3 linked regions of the Notamacropus eugenii genome follow. The protein of the gene in region 1 binds, or shares a complex with, the protein of each later gene. Links are inferred from orthologs where the notes say so. Each region holds a gene or a part of one and is shown on either strand. Other genes may lie near its edges. The genes, in order: ACTR2, ARPC3 and ARPC5L.

Region 1 (7,009 bases):
TAATAGATTTAGCAATGTAAGGACCTGAAACATTTCCAAAGGACTCTTGATGCAAAATGCCATCCACATCCAGAGAAAGAACTATAGAGTTGCAATGCAGAATGAAGCAGAATATTTTCTATTTCATTATGGGTTTTCTTGCTTTTTCTCATGGTTTCTCCCATTCATTTTAATTCTTCTATGCATCATGACCAATGTGAAAATGTGTTTAATAAGAATGTATGTGTAGAATCCACCTACAATTGCGTGAAGGGAAGAGGGAGGGAGAGGAAGAAAAATTTAAAACTTATAAAAATGACTGTTGAAAACTGAAAAGAAATTATTAATAAAAAAAGCACAATATTTAATGCAATAAAAAGATTGCAAACTTGAAAAAAAAACTTAACTACTTGGAAAGCTGCAAAAGACATTTTCAAAGTTTCCAAGTTTAAAGATAAGAGACAGTACTGAAAGTGGAAACAATTTAGATTGTATTTCTGAAGTTATCTGAATTTCTACCTGTTCAAAGAAAAAACTGTTATAATATAACACTCAAATGCAAAATAATGAACACTTAAGTGTTAAATTATTATGTAGCAAATGTATTTATCAAACAATGACTAACATTTCTACACAGGTTTCTTTGGGATGCTCAAAATCATTCGATAAACTATACTATAGCACACATCTTTCACTTTAAATTTTAAAACTACTTCAAAACTATTTTAACAGGTACATAGTTTAAAAAAAAATCTCTACCATAAAAATATAGCCCAGGTAATTCTCTTTCCATCAGCTGTCCCCTTCCACTCCATATAATATCAGGCTCCTGGACTTCCATATACCACTCCCCCTTGCTTTCCAGTTTCCTTTTGAGTGTGGTCTTCTCCTCTTTCTCCCCTCTTAAATTGTGAGCTCCTCAAGGGAAGAGACTTTCTTTTTCTTATTTGTATCTCCACGGCTTAGCACTCAGCCAGGTAACAAAGTTGCTTAATAAATGTTTATTGAACTGAACTGAGAGCCTAAAATCATCTACAAACTCTTAGGAGGTATTAGAGCAAAAGACTCTTAAAAGGGAACTGATAAATAGGTAGCCACCACCACCTTCTCCCTGCCTCCCCACTCCCAGAAGCAAGGAACAGCTCCCCTACATGAAACCATAAAGAATCTGACAGGATAATTTTTTCTGATGTAAGAAAGGGGATTTTAGAAAATTTGATTTTGGTATTCACAAGAGCTGATTAAGTCTGTTTACCGCTAAATACAAGTGGCAAAATTAATGTACTGTACATAATGACTTGTGTTAGCTCTTGCATATGAGTTTAAGCTCACAAGTACATATGCTAACTTTAACGTACATGTCAGCTCCCAAATATACATGGTAGTTTTCATGTTCGTCTATGTGTGCACTTGAGTATACTGTAAATTTAACATTTTAAAAACATGAACATATTCATTTCATTTATAAAAACAAAATTAAGGTACATTTATTTATGTATTATACATAATACATGTATTATACATAATATATGTATAATATATATTCATGTATTATATATTATGTATTACTATGTATTAAAGTACATTATTATGTATTAAAATTAAATGAGTTTTTTAAAAGAAATATATATTAAGGAATTTCAAAAGAAAAAAAAACATTTATTCTTCCTGCACCAAAATCACAATTTTCAGAAAATATGTAGAAACCACAATTATTAATTTGTAAAATGAAGGAAATAAGCCTTGTTCAAACCATATTTTGTCACTTTAATCCTTAAAAGGCAAAATGTGACATGGCATACGCTTACAACCTCTCATCATTTAAAAACTTAGCTACTAATTTCCCCTGGTGTGTGCAAGAAGGCTGTGTTTAAGAAATAAGTTTTACCATATATAGTTTCCTCTTCATAGCATTGTGGTTGAAACTGACTCTCTTACTTCCCACTGAGTCATCAAATGGTAAGAACATTCACAGTCTGTCACAGTCTTTCAGGCAAAAATTAAAGAGTATTAGCTACATTAGCTTGAAAAAACATTTTATGAGCAAATTTAAACCTTGCTTTTACTTGTCTTTTTTCTTCCACTGATTTTATCAGAAACTAGTCCTTTTTCATTATTTTAATCAGATAATTATTAGAACACCATCCTGCAATCCTATTTGTCCCAGAAAACTAAAGACTGAAGAGTTATTGACTTTCACCTCAAAGTTATTCTTTCTTAACCAGATGATGGTTTTATTTCAAACAACCTCAGTATCTCCATAAAATCAGCAGAGTCCCTAAAAAATCCTACCCACAGTTAAATAACAGAAAATTCATACACTAGTGCAGAACTTCTATAAACTACTAAAATTCATAGGGTGGTAACCGGTAGCCAGCAAAGTTCAGGGTTCAACTACATTGTTGTTGAGTCGTTTCAGTTGTGTCTGACTGACTTCATAAATTCAATTTTTGGAGGTTTTCTTGGCAAAGATACTGGAATAGTTTGCTATTTCTTTCTCCAACTCATTTTATAGATGAGAAAACTGAGGCAAGCAGGGTTAAGAGCTTTGCCCACAGTAAGTGTCTAAGGCCAGATCTGAACTCAAGAAAATGAGTCTTACGGACTGGCTTCTTATCTACAGCACCACCAAGTTGTCCCTGCTACGTAAGGATTGATTCTTGAATGAATCACATAGTATTAAAGCTGGAAGTGATTTTGGTGGTCATATGGTCCAACCCCACTATAACATACTTGAAAAGAAAAGTGGTGATCCAGCCTCTATTTGAAGACCTCCAATGATTCTCTTAAGGCAGCCCATTCAATTTTTTGTTCAGTTCTAATTCTTAGGAAAATTTTCCAAACATCAAATCTCAATTTGTCTCTTTGCAATTTTCAAACACTGCTTTAGTTCTGCACCCTAGGGCCAAACAAACAAGTTCTGTTTCTCTTCCACAAGAAGGCCCTTCAAATACTTGGAGAGACAACTATTCTCTCCCTTCCAAGTGTTCTCTGCGTCAAGCTATCCATTCCCAAATCCACCAACCAATCCTCAATTGAAAGAGACTCAAAACCTATGTAGCCAAGAATAGAGTGAATGCAGAAAATTGAGGGAAAAACTCTCACAATCTCTCAGATAGAATATGATTGAGTCATAATATTTTTGTGATGTAGGGAATGATGAGCTGGTGGATCTGGAAAAATATAGAGACTTGGACTTATGAAGGAAGATGCTATCCATCTTCAGAGAAAAAGATGACAAATGGAAACACGTATAATACGGTCTTACATACACACATTTGAATGTATATGTGTATATATGTATGTTTATGTATATGTATATATATGTGTATGTATATTTATGTTATATATAAAAAATATATCTGCACTTAATTGCAGCCTTCTTGGGGAGGGGAAAGGGAAAAATAAAGTAAAAAGTGCACAGCAGAGGATAAAAGAAAATCTATACAAAAGCAAAGAAAAGATGGACGGCTTTGAAAATGTGTTGTACTTATATTGTTTTTCTTGAAATGGGAATTCATTGCTTTATATTGAATCCTCTCGTGTTCTGCTATGTATATGGCAATTTTTTTCTTCTATTATTTTGTATTTAAGTTCAAAATAAATTTTAAAACTTTAATCCAGTCCCAAAGTATATTAAGTATTTTGAGCAGCTACATCACTCTCCTGCCTCATACTGAGTTTGCATTCCACTAAATTCCCCAGATTATTTTTTCAAAAACTAACAAAAAAAACCCTGCTAACTTTCCCTCTCCCATCCTGTGCTTTGGAAGTAGGTTTCTAAAGAACTCAAATCTAAGACTTTGCCTCTACCAGATTTTATCTAATTAGATTCTTCCCAGTGTACTAACCTGTTGAGATCTTTTTGGATGCAATCAAAATGTACTAACTATCCCTCTCAGCTTTGTGTAAAGCCTTCCTGATCTCCAGATTGGAGTTACTTTAGGGTACAGATTCACTGCCAATCCTTGTGATGCCACTTTAGAGAGCAGTTATGCCAAATACTGGAGGAGTTTAAGGGCTAGGACATTTTGGAGAAGAGGGAGAGGAATAAGCATTGATATGTGCTCCTCCTACATGCTAGGCACTGTGCTAAGTGTTTTATTAACATTATCTCATTTGAGCCTCACAACATCCCTGCAAGGAAGGTGCTGTTTTTAATACCCACTTTATAGCTGAAGAAACTGAGGCTAACAGATATTAAATGACTTGCTCAGGATGGTACAGTTAGTGTCTGAGACCACATCTGAACTCAGGACTTCTTTACTACGGGCCCTTCAAACGCCACCAGAAGCCTAACTGAGAAGTATTAGCTTCCTTTCTCTTTGCCTTACCCTGAATGTTATACGGAGTGGAAATATTAGAAATGAAGAAGTAAATACTGCACCTTCATCCTGCCTTGTAACTGTGAAATGCTTGGGCATTTTTAAGCCTGACCAATATTCTGATAATTTTATATTTCAATGGAGTTAGGATTTCATCCCTCCTAATGATGAACACTAGAAATCATCCATGCACTCTCATTTTCTCCCATAAATTGGCCACAAAGGGTCTATCTAATGATTTGGGGACCTACTTCTCATTTTCCAGGCATCAGTGGATATCAAGGAAGTGCAGGCTATCCATTACTCTTTGTTCTTGACTGGCTTACCTTTTTTGGTTTTCCTGATCATGTATTTCTGATTACATCTTTATCACAAGGCCTTTCCTGAGCCATTTCTGGTTTGGAACATACTGTATGCTACCCCTGCCTACCATGTACCTTTTGGTTTATCCTCCATCTAATTCCATAAACCACAGAGTATGATTATATGTGACTATGTAACATCACAATAAGACTACTGGTGTTAAAAAAAAAATAAGAGCTTTTGTTATAGGAAGAAGCTTGGAGGGGAACTGTCACTAAAATAATTGTGCTATTTAACAAACACAGTCTAGCCCATTATTCTTCTTGTTTTATTTTCAGCACAGCTCATAACTGTATTAAACGATCACTTAACTTTTTTTTAAAGCATCTTTTAAGTGTCCAGTCAACTCATACAGGTTAACGTGGATTCTTGCTCTGTTGCTTATTTTCTTTGCTTCAAAAAATTGTTGAACAATTTGTTATTGTTCAACAAATAGAAGCTACAGGTTGCCTATCAAACTGCATAGCAGTCTGGGATGGAGGCATTCTTTAGGTTTCTCTATGTGAATAGTTAAAACTGAACTAAATGATTTAAAAGGCTCTGTGATCTTCTGGGCCTTGGTAAAACTCAGCACATTATTATTTGCAAACAGAAGAATCTGAAGGCAAAAGGCCTGGCCAATAAGTAGTAAAAAATCACCAAACTTTGGCATAAACCATCGCTAAAAAAACTTTGAACGAACAAAGAACAAATGAAAATGCTACATGCATACTATGGCCTTGCAAATATTTAAATGCATATGAAATGTTGTTCTAGAATAAAATCAACATAAAAGACAGGGTGTGATTGATTTACTAGACTGTATATATATATATGTCTATATCAAAAGCTTATAGAAATGCCAAAGTATCCATGAATGTATTATGATGCTATCAATATTACTTCATTACTAATGCTGGTTCTTTCTTCATTTTAAACTAATTAATGTATTCATATTTGCAGACACTAACAATATATATACACACACACACAGTTACAGAGAAGGTGTCAATTTGCATTGTCTGCAGAGGGAATTTCCTCATTTAGAAGTTCTCTAAGCGAATGAACTCTCATCTACTATCACTAACCCTATATAGATCTCTAAATACATGCACAAAATTGCTTTCTGAACATTACTGTGAGTATAGTGGAAATAAATCAGAGATAATCCTATATTTCAATCTTCTCCTTTGACAAAAATCAAAATGAAAGTGTCCTAAGAAATCAGTGTATTTTTTCCAGTACATTTTATATTTAATAATCCCTTTAAAAGGCTATGGCATCAAAGCAACAGGGATTCCCAACCATTTTTTTTTTCCAACAGCCCACACCATTATAAGAGGCAAACCTGTGTAGTACAGTAAGTAATAAATTACCAAGCTGGGTTCTAGTCACAGTGATGCCACTAACATGAGGTGTTACCTTGTGCAAGTCACAACTGCTCTGGGCTTCAATTTCTTAATTTACAAAAGGTTTACTTATGTTTATTTCAAGTTCATTATGTTTTCCACAGTATAATTCTAGAAGAGTTTACCAAAATAATTATTTTTAATTTTAATTCACATACTAGACCCTGCTGGGAGAGAGAAGTGTAGGCAGGATCACTAAAAAAGCATCTGTACATCGGTATGCTGTGGCAACCTCAAGAAGAGTTGAGAACAAATGTACCATAAAAACGTAACATAAAAACAAATGTAACATAAAATCATTCCTGGAGAACACATTCCAAAGAAATCATGTTTCAATCTTGAGATTTGTTCTGATTTTGCTTTCTGATAAAAAATTTTAAAAAAAGGCAGACCTTTCTTCCCCTCTCCCAAAAGGAGCCTGGGGGAAGAAAGGGAGGGGGAATAACCAACCGTTTTTACAACTCCCGGCGTTCGGGGATCTCATTTAAGATCATACCCATGGGGAACTCGCAGTAGGAGAAAAAGAGGAACGGGAGGGGCTTGGTAACTTCTCCCAAGGTCACCACCACACCTGGGCAGCCCTCGGCCCCCGGGGCTCGCCCGCCCAGGCTCCTCCGACTGGACGTCCACGGTGGGCGCCTCCCCCAGACCCCCTCCCGGGAGCCCCTCCGAGACGCGGCTTGCAGACGGAGGCTGCCAGCCCTGCTTCCTTTTTTAGCCCCTCGCTTCCTGCCTCCGAGGCTCTACCTTCGAGTTTACAGGAAGAGGAAGGCCCGACCACTCTTGTTTTATAAAACCACAAGCTGCTCGAGATGGAGCGGGTCTATCTTTCATCAGCCACCCCCGTTGTCCTCGGCAGCTCCTCCAAGGCACTCAGGGAGGGGGCGAGCAGGAGACTATCCCCCCATCCCCCGTCCGCGGGGATGAGAGGCGCGGCGTGGGGGTGGGGGGCTG
Region 2 (7,898 bases), on another chromosome or scaffold:
CAGCCTGAGCTGAGGAAGATGACAAAAATTTTCCACGTTCACAATTTCCTAGGGTTGAATGGTTACCTTGATACCTCACTCCACAAAACCACTTTTTACAAAATGAAAGAAAAAGAATATAGACTTACTTTCTCTTGGAGCTGGTCCTTTAAATTGACTCCTAATGGGTAAAAGTGCCATGTTTCCAATGAGTTTGGTGTCGGGATCCATGAGAGAGGAGTGGTATGCCTGCAATTTCAGTCATGTAAGAATACAAAAGGGGCAGGGAGATAAACACCATAGAATCATAGAATCTCATCCTGAGAAGGAGACTCAGAAGTCATCAAGTAAATATGTCTAGCACTCCATCATCTAGCCTTTGATGGTGACCTCTAGTGGGGTGAAGGGAACAAGCATTTATATACCACCTACTGTGTGCCAGTCAAGGTGCTAAGTGCTTTACAAATATCTCCTTTGACCCTCATAACAATCCTGGGAGATCGGTGCTATTATTTTCTTCATCTGTTAGGGATACTGAGGCAGAAAAAGGTTAAGTGACTTGCCCAGAGTCACACAGTTCAAAAGTGTCTGAGGAAGGATTTGAATTTGGGTCTTCCTGATTCTAGACCTTGAACTCTGGGCACTGTGGCACCACCAGCTCTCTCCATTGAAAGGAACCACTCAACCTGTGGAGAGTTTTAATTGTTGGAAAAATTTTCTTGACAAAAAGTCTGCCTCTTCAGTACTTCCACCTCTTTGGCCAAACAGAATAAATCTCAGACCTTCTACATGAGGGTCCCTCAGACATATAAGGAAACCAGCCCTCCTCCTCCTGCTCTTCTCCAGGCTGAACACTAGCAGTTCCTCCCCCTGATCCTTGAAGGACAAGGTTCCCTGGGCACCCACGTCACCCTATTCTGGGTGCTCTCCAGCTTGTCAGTGTTGTTCCTAAACTATAGACACCATGCTCTCAATGTGCAGGGCAGAGCTCAGCTGACCTAGACTCTCTTGGGTCACAGCCACTGTGACTTACTTATTACCCGTAGAGCCTAAAAGAGAATTTGTTTTTTGGGCTGTTATATCACCCTGGTGACTGATAATAAAACCCCCAGATCTTCTTCACACAAAGGTCTAGACATTTTGTATGCAGGTCAATGATGCATCTTACTGAAGAAAAAAAGACAACCCACCCAAGAGAAAGAGTTGCTGATACTTCCTGGTTAAAACATCTTCACAGGATCAAAGATTATTAGGGCTGGAAAAGACTCTAATGATCACAGAGCTCAAAAGCCCTGGAGGGAGGATTACAGAGGGAGCCACTGAAGTCCAACACTGGGAGTCTCTGAACATCATTTGTAAAATAGGGACATTAGGATTTAGAGGTGATGGAGATTCTATTAATCATCTAATGCAAGTCTATAATGCAAGTGTACAATCTGCCTCTATAAATCCTAGTGCTGGAGTCCTTGGAGGAAAGAGCTTTGGAAATCTGGACTCACTACAAAAAGAGGAGATGTCATTCAGGAACAGGCCTCTCACAGCCACTGTGAGTGACAAGGAGGCTGTAGGTGCGGTAAGCGAAGGAGCCCGAGAGGAAATCTGACAAAAAGAGGGAGAGAAGACACTGAGAGGAGCTTCGCCATCCAGCCAGAGTCTGGAGCTGGGAAAGAAAAGGAAAGGCATACAGAAGCCGAGAAGGGAGAGTATGAGGTAGGGGGGCTGGGGGGCCCACGGCACACTGGAGCTGCTCTCAGAGGGCCTGGGTCCAAGTTCCTGATTCACATCCGACTCTCTGTGAGGCTTTGGGGAAGTTACTTCGCTTCTATGTGAAATGAAAACATCTGACCCCAGGAGGGCTGGCCAAATCTCTTCTGTGTTTCTATTAAGGAGAGGCAGTTCTTTTGCCTCTCCAGCCCCAGCCCCCTTATACTGGCCAAGCTGGACCGGCTAAGGTCCAAGTTCCCGCTCTGTGCACCTCAGTTTCCTCATCTGTCAAATAAGAAAGGTGGACTCGAGGACTCCCAGGTTTGGCTGCAGGAGGAGGCAGCCACCCTCGCACCTCTCAGCACCTTTAACTGTCAAAGGAAGGGGTTGGGGGGAGAATCCCTCCATCTGGCCCTGACTCTCCATCACCACCAGGAGCTGCTCTCTCCCCCGTGCCTCAGTTTCCCTGTGTCCCACGAAGGACCTGTTCTTTATATATGTTCATATACGTTCTTTGGGCTCCAGCCCCAAGTCAGTTAGACAATTAATCCCAAAGGACAGAAGGGTCTTTAATGTTCGTAGCCCTGTTTTCCCACCCATCAGAGCAGGGAGCCGGGCTCAAGGATCCACCTGTGACCGTGACCACCAAGGGAGGCGGCCGCACTGGGGGGTCTCCAAGCCCCCACCAATGAGGCCCTCCGCCCTCGCCGGGCCTCAGTGTCCCCGCCTGTCAAATAAAAGGGCGGGGCTGCTGGGGTTCCAGGCCTCCATCCCACACCCACCGCGCTCTCCCCTCCGAGGCCTCCGTTTCCTGGTAGCTCCGGGCGGCGATCTCCTCGCCCCAACTCCAGGCCGGCTACCCTACGAGGAAGGCCTCGGGGGCTCCCGTGCCTCAGTTTCCCCACCTCGCAGAGGTCTTTGCTGCCAGGTCCTCCCCCGCACACCAGACCGGCCTCCCTCCCCCAAGGCCGGACCCCCACCCTGGCCTCCTCCGCCGGCCCCCTCGCACTCCTCGGGGTCGCTCCCGCCCCCGGGGCCCTCTAAGGCCTCAGCCTCTCCCCGCGCCTCACCGGCATCTTGGCGGCCGGGCCTGGGCTTCGGGCGAGCAGAAGATTCTGGTTCCTGTCAGAGACCCCGATACTTCCGGTCTAGCGGCCGGGTGGGGTCTAACCGGAAGCGATCCGGAAGAGACAGAGGCGGGAGGAGGTCGCGCTTCCGGTGTGGCCGCCGGGAACACTAGAGGGAGCCAAAGAACTAGAGCTGCGGCGCCGAGCTCGCCTGCCCGTGCGCATGCGCGAAGGCCCCCCCGCCCAGGGCTTGGAGCTCCTTGCAGTGGCTTCTGAGGCTGCGCACCACAACGCCGTGGGCGGGGCGGGGCGGGGCGGGGCGGGGCGGGGCGGGGCGAGCACAAGCATCCCCTGTTTTAAAGAAATTGGCCCCACGTGGTGCTGGCCTTGGGGAAAACGAAGGTGTGGGTTCGAATCCTGCCTCTTAGGGAATGGGTGACCCCGGGCAAAAGTCAGTTAGCCAACCCCTCTGGGCCTCAGTTTTTTCATCTGTAAAATGCGCGTTTTATTTTCTTATTTGAAGAAAATCATCGCTGGAGAACACAAGTTTCTTAGTATTTGGGGCTTCATTTCTTAGTGCAGCTGGAGTATAAAGAAATACAATATATGAACATTTTTATAATGAGAAGTTACATATATTTTAAAAGAATAAAAGTCTAAAAACTGCACTTGGGGGTCTTGGGAAGCAGAAAAGAGGTCAAGATAAAAGGCCATAGGAAAATGGGTGGAAAGAGTGTGCTTCTATGTGGCTGGATGAGGGAAGAGCCATGGAAGAAATGAAAGGATTGGGAAAATCAGATGAGGAGGGAGGGGCCCACCCATCTCATCCCACAGTTCATCATGATTTTTGGAGGTGGGGGTGCCTCACCCCCAAATCACTATCCTAATAATTGTCCTCAACTCACAAGAGCCAGAACCTAGGTGTGCATTTTTCAGCTTATTTTAAAATGCACAATGCATCTTGACAGCAGGGAAAAAAACCAAAACACTTCATATTCACACACAACAAAAATATGTTTAATATGCAATTTAAACTAAATTGTCAAAATCTGTAACCTTTTAATGCAATAGACCAGGGGGTTATTAACCTGGGGTTTGTGAACTTATGTAATATTATGAAAACCATATTTCAGTATTATTGTATGTTCTATTATTTAAAATCATTATTCTGAGGTGTCTATATGTTTCATTATACTGCCAAAGGGGTTCATGACACTCCCAGACATAGACTGGTCATTATATTACCTTGGGATAAAGTCAAAGAGGATTGTATTTTTTTTTTTTTACTAGTTTGACATCAACAAAATTCCAGATAAGAAGAAAAAAATCTAGGACTTGTGACTTAAAGAAAAAAATCAAAGCCTCATTGATTACATCCTGAGGAAATCATCCCAAGACCCTCCTCTGATGTCTCAGCCTAGTCTAGTGGGAAGCCAAATTGGGTTTGAGAGCTACCTCACTTACTAGCTTTGTGACCTTCTGCAATTCATTTTACCTCCTTTGGACTCAATTCCTCATCTGGAAAATGGACTTGGTGACCTCTAAAGACCCTCTCAAGGTTATGCCAGGGGACCTCAAGCTCTGGTAGGTCCTTGTCAAGCTGGGGTGGTTTTGATTATGGTCCTGGGAATGGTCTCTAAGTACATTTTCAAGGGTTATCAAGAGACTCACCACTGGCTTGGCAGCTAGGTGTTCTGGGTTTTTCTTTTTGCCCCAACAACTGCCCCAGTCACTGGACTGATGAGACTATAGATCATTGAAATGTGTTAGATAAAATATTTAGGTAACATGCTATCTTGGGTACTGAGAAAACCTAAAATCTGAATGACACAAAATACGTAGGATATTATTATATAAGGATATGAAGCAGTGGAAAGAGCACCAGACCTGGAGCCAGGAAGCCCTGAGTTCAAAATTTAGCTTCAGACACTTACTAGCTGTGTAACCCTGGGCAAGTCATTTAGCCTCAGTTTCTTCATCTGTAAACTCAACTGGAGCAGGAAATGGCAAACAACTCCAGTATCTTTGCCAAGAAAACCCCAAATGGGGTCATGACGAACCAGACACAGTTGAAACAACTGAATAACAACATGCAAATTAAATTTGGCTACCTAGTGGGTGTTCATTTAAGCAACAAGAGCATTTAAAAAGGGAAAAAATAGTCTCGTCCTTAAATATCTACAGTCTCCCCTGCCTTGTAACTTGGGCACAGAAGAAAGCTGCAGACCATCTATTTTTTCTCCTTAGGATGTTACTGAAGACTCCAGATATTGCTATCTGCTCCCCAAAGATCTCTGGGAGGTACACAAATACTGCCCAAAATGTGAAATCCGGGGCAAGTCATGGCCATGAATATCCCTCTGGGCTCTAATTTTATGATCCCAGCACAACTGATGTGACCTGGGACAAGGTTGATTGGCCACTAAGGTCCTCTCCAATTGTGAAATTCAATTCTTTGAATTCACTCCATCATTCTGGGCTTGTCTCCTCATAGTAAAATGGGTGGATGAGGTAAGGTGCCCTCTATATGACCCCTGAAGGCACCTTGCAACTCAAAAATCAATTATCACCATGAGCCTAATAGACATTACGCTTAGGTCAGGAAAAAGGCTCAGCAGGAATTTTAGGAGAGGCTTTGCATTTCCAGCCTATGAATTCAGGGGGCAGCAAGTGTGCCACAGAATATGGGATTTGTAGCCAGAGAACCTGGGTTTGGGCCTCAGATCTGAGAGACCTTGGGCAAAATGATCCATTTTTCAGGTTCCTTCACATGACCTGCCACTTACAAAGTTACAAGGGGCAGCATGCCTGAATGCCAGCCTTTGGCCAGTGAGCTCCCTGAGGGCAGGGACTGGTTTTTACTTGGATAGCACAACACCTGACCCAGAGTAGTTGATAGCCTGGCCAGATTAAGGAAGTCTAAAAAAGAGATGAAACAGCAAAATCAAAATAGTTTTTTAGATGTTCTGCAATGTCCGCCATGTTTTACTTGGCCCACCTCAAGACGATGATTCTTCATTGTTTTGGAATCACTACATTTCAACTTTCTTCACTAAGTTCAGAATTCTATAAGTGTCCTGCCTCATTCTGACCTGGTCGTCGTCCTTCCAGCGGCCATGCTGGAAGCTACCCTTTCCTTCGGGGGAAGGCACGCAGAAGGTCTTCCCTCCTCTGAATTCCGTTTTTAATAAATTTTTCTTGATAGCTTTTGTGTGTGTCAAGTTCATCCCTAATACCAAAAACTGCCCTTGGTAGGAATTTGGATGAGGTAGCATGACATGGGGCAGAGAAGTCAGAAAGACCTGGCTTCCAACACTGCCTCTGTCACTTGGTGGCTGTGTGACCCTGGGAAAGCCATTTAACCTCTAAGGAAATTCATTAACATGGTTAAGTTACACACAGTTGTCAATTTGAAAATGGCACAGGGTACTTAAGTCTGGCCCAAAAAGGCAGGGCGGAGGGACTTCCAAATATAATTTGGAATATGAAAGGGCTACGGACAATTCAGACATAACATTTTATTTTTTATTATAAAAGTAATTTCTAAGCAGTCCATTCTGAGAGAGGGGAACAGAATCATTTTTCCAATAACGAAACCACAGGAAAGAATCTCTGAGGGAGGAGAACCCTCAGGCCATCTGGCCCAACCTGAACCAGTAAAAAAAATCCTCTCTATCACACTCATGACCTGCCTTTGGGGGAAGCCCTGCAGACTGCCACCTCCCAAGGAGCCCTATGCCATCTGGGGTTAGCTCGAGCTGTCAGGAAGTCTTTCTTTCTTGAAGTCAAGCTGATATCTCCCTCTGTGCCACTTGTACACCACAATGCAAACTATCCTTCCCCCAAAATGGAAGTAACAAACAGCAGCACCAAGGGTTTGTCTGTAGCCCAGAATTTGTCTTCCCTTAACAAGTACTATACACCCTAGAGAACTTGGGACTTCATTTGGAAACATTTGCCAATGGAGATTTTCCAAACTATTCTTTTTCTTTGGCCAGGCTGGGGGAAAGGAGAAGTGGCAATGTTCAGATTGTGGATTAGCCATACTCTTTCTGCTTTGGAAAGATGAATTCTCCATCCACTTCTCCCTGAGGCTAAACATGAGTCTTTATAAGATTCTGCCCACAAAGTTCTTCATGCTTTAATAAACACTGGAAAAATTAAATATCTTCATTCATCCCCACGGTCTTGAAAATAATCATCCAACATGGATGATTTTTCTTCTTCAGATTCCTTTCAACAAAGAAAGAGAAAGTTTAATTACTTTTTCTTAAATGTCTTAAACGTGCCAACAGTGGCACTTGTAGGTGGACATTTCAGGTAACGATTAATAATCAGCTAATATCTGGCAAATATTCAGTGTTTTGGAGCCAAAGCAACTGACAAAGACCAGCTATTGAGACAGACATAGTTCCTTGTAGAGAGGGCCCACGCACAGATCCTAGAAGTGCCAAATCACCTGGAAAAGTCTACTAGGTATGGGATTCCAGCGTAGACGCAAGAGAGGCCAGAGAGACAGACAGGAGACAAAGGCCTTTTTAGTCTTCTCCAGCTAGTCTGCTCGTGATTTACATAAACAGGAGCAGGATAGGAGGAAGTTAAAGGTAATTTCCTCATCACAATTTTGTTCATCTCCTTTTCCTATTTGAGGAAGTAGAGCTTTGAGAACACTTGTCCTAGCCAGGTGGGATATCATAAGCACTAACAAGTGAAACGGCTCTCTGACCCATTAAGTCGGAGCTAAAATGAGGGAGTCAGCAGAAGAAGCTTAAAGAATATACACGCATGACCCAAGCCCGGGCACCTGCTACCTTCAGGGACTGGTCTGTCCACTTACCTTCAAGGTCATTTAACACTGTCCACCCGCCACTAGGAATGTTGTGGTTGGTAAGCCTCCTCCGTGCATAGAGTTCCATCAACCACCTTTTTTTTTTAAATTATTTAATCCAGATCTCCAGTTTTTAAAATTAAGATTTTCAACATTCACTTTTATAAGATTTTGAGTTCTAAATTCCCCTCTCCCCCACCTTTTTCTTTTTTAAAACAGATTTTATTGATGTTTTTTGTTTTCAATTATTGCCTATATTTCCCCCTACATCCCTTCCCCCATTCCTGGAGGACCACATCTTATAACAAAGAATTTTTTTT
Region 3 (7,390 bases), about 190 Mb from region 1:
CAACCAAAACTAATATATCAAAATAGATTGACTGCAGAAGCAAAAATCAGTTGTTTTCTATTAAGCCACACATTAAAGAAATTTGGAAAAATATGTAAAATTCTTCTCACTATATTTTTTCCTTTTGGAAAAGTTATTTTCCAGAAAAAAATTTATGTTAATGTGTAATGAGTTAATAAACATTTTTTTTAAATTATCAGTTTTAATTCTGAATGTGGTAAATATTAATAGCAGGGCAACTAGGTGGCAGAGTGGTTGGAGTGCCAGGCCTTGAGTCAGGAAGACTCATTTTCCTTGAGTTCAAATGTGGCCTCAGATACTTATTAGCTTTGTGACCCTGGGCAAATCACTTAACCTTGTTTGACTCAGTTTCCTCATCAGTAAAATGAGCTGGAGAAGGAAATGTAGGAAAAGGAAAGACTCCAGAAAAGTGGAAAACCTCAAAAGGGGTCACAAAGGGTCATATGACTGAAAATAACTGAACAACAAAAATATTAATAACTAAATCCCACAGCAACAAAAGCTCTTTGAGATCCTCAATAATTTATAAGAGTAATAAGGGTGTCTGAGATCAAAAGGTTTGAGAACCTTAAGACTAGATGTCAAGTCTCTTCAAAATCCTGTGACTTCCTATGATCCATTGTTTCATTTGAAGAATGCAGGCTACATTCCACTGACTATAGTATTAGCCATATTTTACAGAAATTTGAGACCCAAAGAGGCTAAGTTGCTTTTCCAAGGTCACAAAGACAATAAGAAGCAGAAACTGAATTCAAACCCAGGTCTTTTGACTTCAAGTACAGAGTTCTTTCTACTAACACCTCAAATTTTTTTTTACAAAAGAAAAGTATGCAATTAAAATTAGAAATAGCAAGGCATAATAGACAGGGAACTGACCTTAAAGCCAAGACCTCTGACTCACAAGGGCTCTGTGATCCTGGGCAACTCTTGGCCCTCTCAGTGCTCTAGGCAACTTTCTAAGACACTAAGTTGCAGAGATGATGTAGCCATGCAAAGAGTGAGTTTTCTGAGAATTCCCTACAGCAGTGAAATCACAGGCCCTGTGATGCATAGAGATGCATTAAAAAAACACCAACTGCAAGCCATAGTTATGATTTTTTTTTTAACAAGTCAGCTTTAAGGAGAGAAAAGTATGATCAGATCAAAAAAAGAAAAAGTACAGTCAGACCAAAGTGATAATGTTTGCATTATTGTCCTCACAGGGTTGTTGTAAACCTCAGACATAAAACAGGGAGCTGTTCAACGGAGCTGTTAAATTTCCTCCACTTGAGACTGCTCCCTGGAGTAGTCCTTATTTTCTGAGACTGAGTCAACCAATTAAAGGATCTTTGGGTAAATAAAAGCTGCACATTATGTGTCAAACTTCTTTATTAGAAGTTGTACCAGAGAGACATAGCTGACTATAGCCATCAATAAAATGAAGTATATTCTTCTTTCTGAAGTCATGAACAGCTAAGCGCCACTTGATAACCTTCCTGCTTATAAAGATTTTGCTTCCATAGCCAGAAATAAGACCACTTCCAGAGTTTAGGGAGCCTATTTTTGGCCTTTATGAGAAGCTGTCTCACTTTTTAAAATCTCTAAAACTGCTTCCAACCTCAAAGGGAAACAATATGGAGAAAAGATATGCCAAACAAGGAACACTAAAAGCTGTTGAAATAGCAAAAATATACTAACAGAGAATGAGATGAGGCTATTTTTAGAAGCCAAACATTCTAGGCAGGAGAAAAAAAAGTACTTCTGGGGAAATAAAGAAGAAAGTCACAATTTCAGACAGTGGGAACCAGCACTAGCCCTTCCAGCTTTCCTTTCTATTCCCAGGCAGGGGTAAAAAATCCACGGGGCCTTCTTGTATTCTAAAACTGCTTCCCTCACTTCCCCTCCCCCACCGCACACCTATTTTTAACAAGGCTCGATCCCTGTCACAGCATGAGGGTATGAAGCACGGTTAATGAATGCAGATCTGTATCTGGAACTGCTCTGACCCCATCCATTACTCAGCACTGGATCACCTTGGGCACTCCCCAGACCGGCTGAGGAGAAGGGCCCCATTTCCTGCCCCATTTCCCCCCCTACATCTCCACTCCGTAGGGTGGGGTCCCATGCAGTTAAAGACACCCACCCCTTCCATTTCTGAACAGGTAAAACCAACCACTCCACATTTTTCCCAACTTGGCCCATCCCTCCGGCCCTCACACCTGTATTCAGTCCCAGGCCGGTGGGATGGGGAAATCAGAACACTTGGAGAAGCCAGAGTCCCAGGGCTTCGGGGGCAAGTTCCCGGAGGCTGCCAATCTCTTTACACAAAGCAGGGATGGAGGTGCAAATCACCAGAGGGGAAAACAAGGTGCTGACCCCCTGAGGTGCGTGGGGGGGGGGACCCTCGATAAATGTTTCCTACCTTGAGCGGGTTCTACAATGTACCGGAAAAGCTAAACCTGCAGCACAGAACTAGGATGGGGAGAGAGGAATCTCCGAACCGCCGGACCGGTGGGATGCAGCCGGGCGGAGAAGGGTGTCCGGAATCGCGGGGCGGCCCTGGAAGGCTCTGGGGGTGAGCGGGGGTGACCGGCGCTCGCCACCTCGCCACGCTCCCCTCCCCGACCCCTCCCCCCCTCCTCTGGGTCTCTCCCTGCCTGCGCCCCCTCCTCCTCTCCCTCCCCGGAGCCCGCGCGGGGGGCGGAAGGATATTGCCGCAGGAGGCTGTCCACCTCCCCGGGGTCCGGGTCCGAGTCGGGGCCCGGCTCCGCCGCCGTGGCCGCCGCCGCTTCCTCCTGCTCGTCCACGAACTTGTTCTCGTCGAACTCGTCGATGTCCACCTTGCGGAAGCGCGAGGACAGCGTGTTCCGAGCCATGGCGGCGGCCGCCTCCGCCTCCCGCGCAAGGCCGGGGGAGAGAGAGAGAGAGGAGACAGCGAGAGACCGCGAGAGCGCGAGCGAGAAGACCCCGCAGGGACAGCGCTCGGAGCCCGGCAACGGCCCCGGCAACGCTCCGGAGACGACTCCGCCGCGCCGCGCGCCGCGCCGCGACGCACACCCACTTCCGGCCAGGGCCGGAAGCGGATGTCGGTCAGCGAGGGGGCGGGGCTGGGCTTGGGGAGGCAAGGAGGCTGCTTTGCGCCGGCGAGGCTGACCCCGGGCCGCTTCTGCCGGCTGGCGGCTGCGGGGCGGGGGAGGGGCGTGGTGGTAAATAATCGTTCCAAACCGATGCCCTACTGCGAGTGTGTCAGGATTTACCCCATCAGCAACAGCCCAGGGAAGTAAGAAGGGCTGAGGACTAACCGTCTTCTTCTGCCCGAATCTAGAAAGGGCAGCTGGAGCGTCCCTGAGGCCCCTCCCAGACCTCGCCGTCTGAGAATTTGTGAGTGATTGTGCCCTGCTGGCCCAGGGAGTCAGCGGGCACTGGTCAGGGAGGCGGAGAAAAGGCCCCTGCTCTCCCGGATCTCAGTCTGCCCAGGAGACTGGCCGGACAGCTACGAAGAGAGGAGGGGGAGACAGCCCCAGAGGAAAGGCCTGTGTTCGGCCTTCCTTCTCAGAGAGGACCATGACGTCAGGGAGATGACGACATGACTTGCCCTTGACCTGGTTTTGAGTGAGGGAGGGCTGTGCCAGGTCACCAGCCTCACTGGAGATGGCCCAGGATGTAGTGGGAGACCCTGGCTCTTTTAGGCGAAGACTTTTCAGGTTCTCACTTTGAGTGAATTAATACCCATTCAGTGAATAGGCCTCTTTGTCAAGGGATGACCCCTTTAATCTAAAAAGAAAAAAAGGGAAGGCCCTAGTAGGAGGGAAGAGTGGGAAAGGCTTCTTGTAGTTAATCAATATATTATTTCAGTCAATCACTAAATATTTATTAAGCACCCATTATGTACTAAATTGTGCTAAATGCTAGGCATAAAAAAGAGGCAGAATACAATCTTGCCCTCAAGGAGCTTACAATCTAAGGAACTTTAAGGAAGGAGAAGTAAGGAAGTGGAATTAGGGAGAGAATTCTAGGCATGGAGAACAGCTTTCCCCTTTAATCAGAGGGGTCCCAGAGGCAGAGGGTACTGATGAGGTCGGTACCAAGGCTGATAATGTGATTTTGCAGAATGGTGAGGTTCCTAGGAGAACCTGACTGCTAAGTGCTTTACAAATATTCTCTTTTTTGATCATTTAATTACAGCTGTTGGAGAGCCAGGACTATCACTCATCTTTGCCTTGCCTTTACTACTGATGAATCACAGATCTCAATAAGTAGAGGAGCTGTCCAAGAAATGTTTATTGAATGAAGCTTACAGAGGGACAGACATTCCCAAAGAAGGGAAGTGACCTGCTCAGAGCCACATAGGATTTAGAAGGGGATGGGACCTTAGAGATGACCTAGTCAAAACCCCATTATAATGAAGACTAAGAAACTGAAGCCCAGTGCATGAAAATGTTTTGCCAAAAGTCACTAATCTGAAAAAGCAAGGATTGAAACCTGGTCCTTGGACTCCAAATCCAGTGTCCTTCTGACTAAGATCCAGCTTAGAATCTGTTTCCTACTTCCCTTTAGTATCTTTTCCAGGAGTCCATACAGTCTCCCAGGCTTTAAAACTCAACCTGCCAAAAGACAAAAATGAAATCCAGGTCATGATTATCCAGTAGTATTACAGGATATGAGAGGCACAAAGAAAGTAAAACAAGAAAGGGCATTAGGAGAAGTGCAAGATTACCTGAGTGACAGTGGAGAACTATGTGAAGGCCCAACAATCTTCACCTGGTCTGACCCAGAGGCACCAATTTCTGTTCTTTTATGTCCTGGGAAACCTTTGGGCTGAATGGGTGGCAAATTCTCTGCCTTGATCTACCTGTGTCATAGTTTTATGAGGAAAGCATTTTGTGGATCTTAAAATGCTATAGAGATGTGTTACATGGTACTCATTTTCCATTCCCTATCTCCAAAAGGCACTTTGGAAAGCAATCCACATCTCGGAGCTAGGGATTGACATCCTCAGTGGGAGAAGGAGCAGTTATTATTGTCACTTGACATTCATGAAGCGCCCACAGCCTGCTGGGTGCTGTACCAGATACAGAAACAGCCCCTGCCCCTGCCTCTGTTGCTTAGCATCAACTGGAACTATATATTAGAGATGTTAATTGCTGACAGGTTCTGTGTGTGAGCTAGATGTAACCAAACAATTTCCAAGAATGAAGTGACATCAGAGAATCAATCCTAGTAAGGAATTTAGACACTTTAAATCCAATCCCTTCATTTTTAGGGCTCGGAGAAGGAAGTGATTTGCCCAAGATCACATAGGGAGGAAGTAGTAAAGCCAGCATTCCAATTCAGGTTCCAGATACCCCAGGGTTGTGGTCAGAGAACACAGCTAGAGAGTTCCAAAAAGACTGCCTTATCTTTCCTACATCCCTAAAGAATAGGATTGGGAGGGAAAACTAAAAACCAAGATCCTTCCAGTTTCTTGAACTCTGGTCCAGATTCCTTCTACCACTAAAATAAATGTAGTTATGAGAAATATTGCTATATCAAACACTGATGTATAATAATAATTCATAATGATGCCCTTTATTATTTTAGCACTTTATAGTTACAAGGAGGCATTATAAATGGAATGAATGGAACATTGAACTGAGATTCAAAGGGCCTGGATTTTATCCTCAGCTCTTCTGCTGGCTTGAAACTTTTAGGTACAGATGTCAAGAAAGTGGATTTTGAATGATATTATTGTTTTCTGAACCTCTTTGAAATGAGGGGATAAGTCTTCAAGGATCTCTGAAGGCCCTTTAACTCTTAAAGGCTCTTCTCAGCTCTAACATTCTGTGTTCTTACATCTCTATCCTATTATATGTCTTAACATTATATATTTTAATATTCCCTGATTCCACATATATGATCTAGTTCAGATCCTGGAATGCTGGTTTTCTTGCCATTTGTGTGATCTTGACCCTTTAACTTCCTTGGGCTTCAGTTTCCACATCTGTACAAAGATTATTAGACTAGACTGTTTCTAAGGTTCCTTCCAGTTTTAAATCTGATGCTGTTATTCCTTTATTTCTTGTGAGACACATTGGTGAGGGAGGCAGTGTGTGATTGTCCCCAGAATGGATCAGTCAGCAAGAACTTATTAAGCACCCACTGTATTTCAGGCACTGTGCTAAGCTCTGGAAATACAGACAAAAATGAAACAGTGCCTACCCTCAAGGAGCTACTTTCTAATGGAGGAGACAGCATGTGCATATGTAAGTGTATATACATATCTACATATCTTTAAATGTAAAATGAATACAAGGTCATTATTGGTGAAAGTACCTTATAAACTAGTGAGATCAGGAATGATTTGATATAAAAAGTAGGATTGAGCTGAATCTTAAAGGAAATAAGGGATTTTGAAAGGGGGTTGTCGGGAGGATCTGTGAAGGCAATGAATTCCAGGCATGGGCACAGCAAGTGCAAAGGCAGGGAGACTGGCGCTGAATAATCCTGTGTTGCCCACAGAACAAGTAGATCAGTAAGACAGGACAGCTAGGTTATGTACAGGTCAGAAATGTGTAAAGAATACTGGAAAGGTAGGATTGATTGATTTTACAGAAGGAAAAAACTGAGGCCCTATATTGTGTTCTAAAGGTGAGGTCCAAGGTGTTCAGAGAAATTCGATGGGGGAGGAATCCAGGAGGGCGGAAGAAGCTCTAGAGCATCCTCGGCTTTAACCATGGGTGGGTGTGCCTTGTGGGGCCTGTTCCCTCCCCACTGTCTGCCTCCTCCTCCTCTCCCTTCCTTCCCTTCCCCAACTCGCTTTCTGGGCGGGCTGTACCATTCTCCGTACATCTCACCCTTCCTCCCGTTTACTTGGTCGCGCCCTGACCCGGTAGTAGTTCTCAGGGTCGGCTCCTCCCCTTCCCTCTTTCTCCTTCAAGCTGGTGGCTGTGCGTCTGAGCTGAAATCATGGTGAGCTCTGCGCGGGGAATCCGCTGCCATCCTCGGGCTCCGGAGCCCTCCGCTCCGCGTCGCACCCGGGGGCCTTCTGCCCGGGCTCCGATGGCGGGAGGTGGAGGCTCCGGAGCCGCGGACCGGGGCGCTGTTCACCCCTGACGAGCCTCCGGCTGCGGCATCCGGGCGCTTCGGCCTCAGCGCGGGTCCTTCCGGCCTTGGGGAGGGTGGCGGGGAGGGAAGAGGGAGCGGCGGGGCCGCGCGGCGCTCGGGGCTCTCTTCAGGCCGAGGCCCCGGGGGCCCTGGGGAGGCCCGGCAAGGCCAGGCTGCGGAGCCAGAATCCACGTTCCCCGGGGTTGTGCCCGTTAACCCTTTCCATTAACTTCCTAATCCTGGCTGTGTCCTCATTTTGGCGGAGCCGCGAACTCGGAGTTAGGAGAGATTCCGGCGCTAATTAGCT

What was found.
Region 2: ACTR2 (region 1) and ARPC3 share a complex: the UniProt entries of both Homo sapiens proteins name them as parts of the arp2/3 complex. The link is inferred for Notamacropus eugenii from reciprocal best matches to the Homo sapiens genes ACTR2 and ARPC3.
Region 3: the proteins of ACTR2 (region 1) and ARPC5L are in contact, whole or in part, in a cryo-EM structure (PDB 6YW6), measured with the Homo sapiens proteins. The link is inferred for Notamacropus eugenii from reciprocal best matches to the Homo sapiens genes ACTR2 and ARPC5L. Residues at the interface, in NP_005713.1 of Homo sapiens: Tyr225, Glu263, Phe266, Gln267, Arg319, Lys322, Gln323, Ser338; in NP_112240.1 of Homo sapiens: Arg11, Arg12, Val13, Asp14, Ile15, Asp16, Glu20.

Annotation. Positions count from the first base shown.
Region 1 is NC_092872.1:639,069,562-639,076,570, forward strand, and holds the start of ACTR2 (actin-related protein 2), read right to left. Parts: upstream 3,069-7,009; 5' UTR 2,713-3,068; intron 1,989-2,712; exon of another isoform or gene 1,966-1,988; 5' UTR 1,949-1,965; coding exon 1,868-1,948; intron 1-1,867. UniProt on the Homo sapiens protein: ATP-binding component of the Arp2/3 complex, a multiprotein complex that mediates actin polymerization upon stimulation by nucleation-promoting factor (NPF).
Region 2 is NC_092875.1:35,944,020-35,951,917, reverse strand, and holds the start of ARPC3 (actin-related protein 2/3 complex subunit 3), read right to left. Parts: upstream 3,072-7,898; 5' UTR 2,760-3,071; coding exon 2,754-2,759; intron 229-2,753; coding exon 129-228; intron 1-128. Other genes in the region: GPN3 (GPN-loop GTPase 3), read right to left, coding at 6,921-6,983. UniProt on the Homo sapiens protein: Component of the Arp2/3 complex, a multiprotein complex that mediates actin polymerization upon stimulation by nucleation-promoting factor (NPF).
Region 3 is NC_092872.1:447,139,776-447,147,165, reverse strand, and holds the start of ARPC5L (actin-related protein 2/3 complex subunit 5-like protein), read right to left. Parts: upstream 3,073-7,390; 5' UTR 2,877-3,072; coding exon 2,713-2,876; intron 2,385-2,712; exon of another isoform or gene 2,282-2,384; intron 1-2,281. Other genes in the region: RPL35 (large ribosomal subunit protein uL29), read left to right, coding at 6,183-6,242. UniProt on the Homo sapiens protein: May function as component of the Arp2/3 complex which is involved in regulation of actin polymerization and together with an activating nucleation-promoting factor (NPF) mediates the formation of branched actin networks.